Solanum lycopersicum: one gene and its partner. The protein of the gene in region 1 interacts with the protein of each later gene in a biochemical or structural test. Links are inferred from orthologs where the notes say so. Each region holds a gene or a part of one and is shown on either strand. Other genes may lie near its edges.

The links. The genes of interacting proteins can lie anywhere in the genome.
Region 2: the proteins of protein GRIP (region 1) and ADP-ribosylation factor 1 form a complex in vitro, tested with the Arabidopsis thaliana proteins (2 studies listed by BioGRID). The link is inferred for Solanum lycopersicum from reciprocal best matches to the Arabidopsis thaliana genes ATGRIP and ARF3.

Annotation. Positions count from the first base shown.
Region 1 is NC_090801.1:62,706,617-62,710,907, forward strand, and holds the start of protein GRIP, read right to left. Parts: upstream 2,801-4,291; 5' UTR 2,509-2,800; intron 1,938-2,508; 5' UTR 1,931-1,937; coding exon 1,429-1,930; intron 1,227-1,428; coding exon 1,111-1,226; intron 405-1,110; coding exon 235-404; intron 1-234. UniProt on the Arabidopsis thaliana protein: Golgi matrix protein playing a role in tethering of vesicles to Golgi membranes and in maintaining the overall structure of the Golgi apparatus.
Region 2 is NC_090806.1:3,081,583-3,085,792, reverse strand, and holds the start of ADP-ribosylation factor 1, read right to left. Parts: upstream 2,801-4,210; 5' UTR 2,367-2,800; intron 2,225-2,366; 5' UTR 2,203-2,224; coding exon 2,100-2,202; intron 1,986-2,099; coding exon 1,947-1,985; intron 1,211-1,946; coding exon 1,148-1,210; intron 1-1,147. UniProt on the Arabidopsis thaliana protein: GTP-binding protein involved in protein trafficking; may modulate vesicle budding and uncoating within the Golgi apparatus.

The sequences.
Region 1 (4,291 bases):
AAAATGTTAGGTGATTATGTTAAAAGGTTATTTTCTCATTTAGTATATGGACACTTGAGGATCTCAAGGGGTAATCTTGTAGCTCAATCAAGAAGTTGTTCGACAGGTAGCTCTGATGATATCTCTTTGTTCTTTTTTTCTTTTTCTTCAAATCTAATCCAAATAATAAACAGATAATCCATCAAAATCACTTGTGAAGAAGCAGTGTCAACTAAGTTCACAAGGAGGACATACTTGTTGTTTGTACTTCTTAACTGTTGCCTATCCAAATCCATTGCTTTCAGTGCCTCCTGAGCGTGTTGTCTACTGCGCTCCAACTCTTGCTGCAATGCAGATAATTGCGAGGATGCGCGCTCAGATTTCTCATTGACATCACGAAACTGGGCCTCAAGATCATCTTTTTCCTAAAGAAACAGAATTGCAACAAAAAATAGTTAATTATCGTAATTCTTTCTTTAAAAATTAAAAAAGATGTAAGCAATTAATGTACAACTTGAATAACTTGTCCACCACATTTTTATCTTAATGTCCAAATTTAATTGCATCTTTTCTATCAAGTAACAGATTTCATTGATAATAACAAGGTCATCATGGATTTATACAAGTGGTATACCAGAAAAGGAAAAACCTACAAAATATGGTCCTCACCAAAAGTCACCCAATCCTACAGGAACTACATTTGGACATTAAGATAAAATGCAGTTTTCAAGTCTATTTTAGCAGGTAGTTTCATGTCATAATTAAAATCGGTACTCCCTATTCAATATATCATGGGTGACTCCTAGTGCAAAAGCAGCAAGAAGCTGAAGGGCAATGAAGATGGATATAAGGAAGAAAGATAAATGGAAGTGAAGCCTCATTTGCATCTTCGGACGATTCAGAAAGAAAAGAGTAGTAACATTTTAAGGAGATGAAAACCATCTATAATCAAAAATTTTCTCCAGTTTCATTTGTTGTTGTAGAATATATTGTTATCTATACAAGGTTTTGCTAGAACTCGGAAGGTTTTGTAGAAGTAAAACACCTTTTGTAAAGTTGACCAAGTTTTGATGAAAAATTGATGAAAGACATCAGACATATCAAATAAAAGAGGATAGTCTCAGAATTTACCTTTTGCACCTCTTGAATACGCTGCTTTGCCCGTTTGTGAAGTCTGTTGAACTTCGAGTCTAGCTCTGAGTACTTCTCATCACGTTCTTTTATTTCCTGATCCATCTTATTTTGTACTATTCAAACAAACCATTTATAGACTTCAGAATAGCATATCTTCTTTGTCAACTGAAACTAAAAAAGGAAAACCAAAAAATCTGCAACTAACAATGGAAGTACATCACCAACATTTAGAACTTATCATAAAATCCGAGTTCCATATTGATGTTGAATTCAACAAACATGAAGAAGAAAATGGAAGTCAAAGCAAATCACAACCTTCAGCAACTTTGACAGACAACTCTTGGGCCTTTGTGTCAGCTTCCAAATATAGAGTTTGAAGATGCTTTAGTGCTACCTCTGCAGCACCTCGTGTTTGCTTTTCCTCTAAAAGTTCTCTATTCAAAGATTCGATCTTCTCATTAAGGTCTTCTGAATTATCACTTGCCACATTTTCATGTGCAGCCGTTTTAATTTGTTGACCAGAGTCATCAGAATATATGTTGATGCTTTGCCATCCCACAATCTGAGATTTCAGATATTCATTCTGGAAATTAAGTTCTACGAGCATTTGTACAAGATCATCATGGCTATCACCTGTATGTTCGTGACTCTCACATATTCCGTTATCCTTTACATGATCACTCTCAATATTGAAGCTATTGAACTGTGCCTCTGTTTTGCTAGCATCTTCCGTGTGATTATCTGCAGCCCCACTACTAATATCTCCCTCCATTATTTCCTCTTTAGCTTCTGAGAAGTAGGGATTAAACTGTTTCATCCATCAACTGCAATAAGTAACCATCACAAAACACAAAATAAATAATCCACTAATATGGATCACGCAACTCCGCATTGAAATTAAAGAATCGAGATAAAAAGACACAAACATTGGCTTCAAAAATATCAACATTTGAATGCCAAATTCTGGTAAGTAAATAAAAGTTTTATAGCAAGATCCACCGTCAAGCTAATTTGATTAACCCGAAGCTAGTACAAGATTCAAAACATCATAATAGACTCTCTCTGTATCACCCACCTCACATTGATCACACCAATGTAGCTTTAGTAGAAATTGCCCCCTCCTCCATTTTTTTTTCCAGAAAACCCGATGGCAGTTGAGGTTTATCACCAGTTTCGCAAAGAAAATGAAATTCGAGAAAATTGGATAAGAGAAATTCAGGCTTACTTCAACAGTTAAATTCACATTTCTGGTGCAATGAAATTAAAGAGGTGCAGATTACAGTATCAATCAGATCCTACGATTAACTAAATTTTAGCAATGCACTAACACAACAGAAAAAATGTATGCAGAAAGCATCATTTTAGATACAATTGAAAAGCATTAAAAGGGCTGACCTGAGAAGTAATATGGATGAAGCAGTGGGGAACTGCAGATCTAGATGCTTGTAAAATGTCCAAGCGGCAAAAAGAGTGAAACGGTGTCTAATACTAAATAAATCCCTTTATTGAGAAGAGTATCTATCAATCGAGAAAGAAAAATCTCAATAATCCGCAAAGAAAAAGCAGGGGAAGAAAAATTCTGAGATCGCGTAGGGGGTGGGGGGGGGGGGGGGGAGCTTGCAGTCTCACGTTTTCCCTGCTACACCTTCCCACATACTATCTGCGTTTCTATTTCTCATCTAAAAATAAAAAAATTGTATAATTACATATAATTTATATATAATTTGCACATATAGCAAACAAAATATTCATATTTGTATCGTATAACAAAGTTTGCATAATTGCGCTCCATAGCAAACATATAACCGCATAATTCGCTGTATATATACAATTGTATAATTCGCTAACCTAAATTGTATAATTCGCTGGTCTCGCTATGCATATATAATTGTATGATTCGTTGGCCTAAATTGTATCATTCGCTAGCCTATTTCGCTGCAATTGTATAATTCGCTATCCTATTTCATTGCAATTAATAATGCGTAATTGTATAATTCGCTGCAATATTTGTATAAATTTTACTTTGCATACAATTGAAATCGAAGTAAAATGTATTTGTATATTGTATAATTATAGGTGTAGAGGAAGAAGATATATGTTTTTGTCTCGCTTTATACAAAAATAGAAACACAATTTATATACTTTTGTTGTATAAAGCGAGAGAAAATTGTATTTCACTGCAATGTATAATTCGCAATTGTATAATTCGTTGGTCTTTTTCGCTATAATATTTGTATAAAATTTGCATTTGTCTATAATTGAATTGAAGTAAAATGTTTGTAAATTGTATAATTAAATGTAACACGAAGATTTATGTTTTTTTGCATGTGTATATACAATTTTCTCTCGCTTTATACAAAACAGAAATACAATTTATACACTTTTGTATATAAAGCGAGAGAGGCGAGCAGAGAGAGAGTGGCGAGCGAGATTTTTAGAAGAGAGACGACTGACAAACTTTGGCTAATGTTTGCTATGGAGCACAATTAAATCAAACCGTAATTACTATATTCATTTTAGGTTATTAATTTGTTATTATCTACCATTGTCCTATAAATACCTAGTGAAATTTTCATCATGCAGTCAGAAAAGAAAACAATGAATATCCTATATAACATGCCATGAATTAGATCGACATAATTAAAATTATTATAATACCATAAATATGTAAATTAATATTTGTATAAAATTAATTGTTTGAACATTAAGATATTGATTATCTTGACTAAATTCCCTTTTCTTTTTCTTTTTGAGTAAATGATTAATGGGGGAAATTTTTTATACTTTATTTTGTATATTTTTATTTCGTCTGATCTAAAAAAGTTGCTACACTGAATTATTATGAAATTTTTGCAAAGAAATATGATTGTCGGCAAAGCAAACTTGTATTGTGGGTAACTTCTCAAAATACACCCGTAAGAATATATTCATATCATAAAAATAATAATACAGTAATTAAAAAAATAGAAACTCTGTTTTGCCTCTCATTCTTTTTTCTTTTCTATTTCGATGGCAACATGAAACATAGTGCTGAATCCAGTCAACATTAATTAACAGTATGTTCCAATATTTCGTTATAGCATTAATTCAAACAAATATACAAAATGACAAATCTCCTGGAGAAAGAAATAATACAGTAACATAATTTAAAAGGGCACACATACATGGCATTACACGT
Region 2 (4,210 bases), on another chromosome or scaffold:
GCATACGGTTAAAAATGTGTCATCTATACTTAAAGGTAAGTTCTACCATGTGGTGGTTACACTGACTATGTTGTATGGGGCATTGTGTTGGTCAATCAAAAACTTCCTTGTTCAAAAGATGAAAGTAGTAGAAATGAGGATGCTGAGATTGATGTGTGGACAAATAAAGAGAGATCAGATTAAGAATGAAGAAACTCCGGACAAGGCGGGGGTGGTGATGGGGTCCTTTCCCACTTTGAGATTGCTTTGCATGTCTTTATCTGAAGTGCACACTTTTTATGAAGCATATGGTGGTGGGGTCCTTTCCCACTTTGCTCCCTTGGTAACTCAACACCCAATATTATGGTTGGAGGTGGAATATCTTTCCCACTAGGTAATCCCTCCTTTGTCAAGACATGCACCTTAATTACTAAGCTTTAGGATACATTTTTTAAACAAAAAGGTGGTTTCCGGACCAACTTGTGTGCATCTTGACAATTTAACCAGGCACCTCCTATGATGTTACCTCTAACTAGCTCAGAGGTCAGGTAAGTTCATTAAGGCTTAGGCAAATGGAAAGAATAACCTAGTGTTTTTTTGCCTCTGCTGGAATTTGGAGACCTAATAGCTCTCCTCCCACTTCACTAAACACTAGTTCAAGCCTTTCTGTGCAAGCTTTAGGATACAATACGCCAGACACCAATGACCCATATACTGACACAAAGCTTAATTTAGAGATAAATGAAAGATCTACAATTTACATGAAGTGATTATTCATTTTTTAATTTTGAGAGCCTGTGACCATCCCTATTGAACATATATAGCCATGTAAAAGTATCAAAGTTGCGTGAAATTAGTGTCTTGTGCGAAAAGCTGCAAAAGTTTGAACTAATTTAAAAAACTGGGAAGAACTGAAGCCATCCTGTCTAACAAAACTTATTTTAAGTTAAGGAAATTTCAAGGGAAACATTTACTACAGATATAAGCGTCAAGCAAAGAGCATGAAATGAGTATCTTATGAGAATAAAGCTGGAAAAGATTGAGCTCCTAACAAAATTGGGAAGAAAGCGAAGCATTATTCAAACAAAATCTAGTTAAGGTTCAGGAAAACTCAGAACATATAGAACAAATACTTTGCACCAAACGTCAAATTAATCCATCAGTTTACCTAGATCCCAAACTTGAAACTTTATATTGTTATACTGCACCGTCTCAACATTAAATCCAATTGCTGCATCATGAAAATCAACAAAAACCATCCATTACAAGAAAAACAGGACAAACATACAAAGAAAACCAATATCCTCTCTTCACTTAAAGAATGTAAGAAAATGCAATGAAATTATAGCTCAACGATTAAGGTAGAGGCCAAGGTTCAAATCCCACTGAAGCATGGGTTTGCTCAAATCTGAATGTTGATGTACACCTTACTAGTGTTTGCCTGGCGGATGATTTTCCCACCCATAGATAGCACATAAAATTTCGTAGATACATTTCTACCTCATAACCCAAAAAGAAAGAGATAATAGACAATACCACAGTTTCATTTTTATACATCATATTCACTAGAAAATGACTAAATTTATCTCTAATCAACTCGGCATCATAAATAGTCGGTCTTTTTAAGTAATACTCTCAAATGAAATCTATCAACATTGGTACACAAAAGCATTGCAACTATACTAACTCTTATGTTGATTTACATTTTACACATCTTATTTCTTTTCATAGAACTGGTTTATAGTATTTGTTTTGGTTTGAGTAAGATTGATACAAGCATAAAGGAAACAAACAAATCTGAATGGAGAATAACATAAGTAATGCGGGGAATCTTAGTAGCTCAGTTGGTTTGACTTTGATTCCTTACTTTATAATCCCCTCCCCCCATTTCTATTCCCCAAGAAATCTTTCACTTCACTAAACTATTGAAAGGATTAATGAAAGAGAAATCAAGAAAAAGAACCTACTTGGTATAGTGGAAACTACTTCACCCATCTGAAGACGATCTGCATGATTAAAAAAAACAAGGAATCATCATACTAATCGAACTGAATATGAAAACCCAGAATTCAAATCAAAAAATAAGCAAAAGGGTATTCATAAAAAGGAGTAAATCATACAGAGAATTGTTGTTTTGCCAGCATTGTCAAGTCCAAGAACTAAGATCCGAGCTTCCTTGTTTCCAAATAACGAAGAAAACAATCGTGAAAACACTAATCCCATTTCCCCCCTTTCGCTTGCTTTTCTGTATATACAAAATCAAAGATCAGATCTTGAAGAACCCCAATAAGCAAAAGGCAAAATTGTACAAAAAAAATGAATGTTTAGACAAATTTATGGTGACCCAATAAAGGAAAAAAGCTAGATTTTTCATTGAAGTGAATTACCAGCTGATTTGGGAACTTGATTAGTGTTTGGGGTTAAGCTAGAAGAGAGAAATTGTCAATTGGATCAACCAAAAAACACATATAGGACTAGCCAATTGAGATTTGGGTCTTTTTTATTTTTTATTTTTTTTTCGAAAAATATTTTTCAATCAAAAATGTTTTTCATAAGACTGGGTTTGATTCTTAAAAAATTATTTATAAAAAAAAATTAAGAAAGATTTGATAATAGTGCTCATGAAAAAAAATACAAAATAGTTTTGAACGTGTTGTCTACTTCAGGAAATTTCATTCAGATATTTATAGTTAATGAAATATATAATATGAAAAGAAAGAAATTTTAGAATTTTTTTAGGATATCGTCAGACACAGCATAACAAGGGAGATAATAGTGTTGTCAAATTTAGGGGTGTTAGAAATTATGAAGTATTTGATTCAAAAACTTTTTGTTAGCCCTAAGGAACTATATTACCAATTTGGATTCTTTGTCTTTAAAAAAAAAAACCTAAATCTAGAATTGTATTTTAAATATTTACTATCCTTAATACTGATATTTATAGTTGCTGAAACACATTATATGAAAATAAATAAATTTTAGAATAATTTAGGTTACGGCTAGAAATACTATGAGAGATAGCAAGTGTTGTCAATTTTAGGAGTGTTGAACTTATGAAATGCTTGAGTCGAAAACTCTTTGTTAGCCCTAAAGGACTATAATATTTTAGGAACTATCTTACTTATCTCAATCTTTTGTGTCTTTTCGTTTAAAAAATAAACAGATTTCTGACTCTGAAATTTATATTTTAAGTTTTAACTATCCTTAATACTAGACTAATTTCCTTAAAAAATAATCATGAGTTCATTTTTAATAAGAATAACGAGGATGATACTAGTGAATCCCAAAAGCAAGCCGAAGCCAAGATTTTGAGTTTTCAAAACTCTAGATTGAAAAGCATTTTCATAGTTCTTTTTTTACCGCTAAATTGTCAATCAATCTTGTTAGTGTTTTTTTAGTTAATATACCCCCACACACATACCCCACCCCACCCCCACCCCCACCCCCCACTCCACCCCCACCCACACACACAGACACATACTTAATTTTCTAGTACAAATACAAAATTCACGAAAAAATTATTCATCCGAACTCACGAACCTCAACTAGCTTTATCTCTGCTCCAAAAACATAGCGATCGTCGCATACATATTACATAGTGGAAAACAATATTCAATTATACGGAATTCATACTTTGATTTCTAAAATTTTATTTCTCTCATTTTATCTTAAATGACATGCGCTTCTAACTTGCTATATAAAATAACATATTTAAACCACAAATTTTCGAGATGATATTTCGATATATGTCAAAGGTTGTATCTTTCTAAACTCCGTCTCCAATCAAACACAGAATTACCTTCACATTAATCATCAATAGTTCGAAAGGTATTAAAAAAATAGAAACCTAAGAAAGATTTTTTTTTTCAATACCTGCAAATTTCATAGTAACACATTGGGAACTTTTGTTGTGATATTGTTTGGACATATTTGTTCTAAGCCCATTTCTTTTGTTTTACATATTTGTTCAAGCCCATCTATGTACTTGGCCCAATCAGCCCATGTTTACTTTTCACCCATGCATCTCTATATATTAGATAGAGAATTAGATTGAAATCTCGTCAAGAGATGTGGTAGGGTGAATGATATATATATATATATATATATATATGTCTATCGTTAGTTAGAGATTGTGCATTCAAGCACGAGGAATGAAAATGCTTCATAGATGAATTTAAATTAGTCGAACTAAAAGTAAATATCATATACTAAATGTTAAGCAAAAGAGACT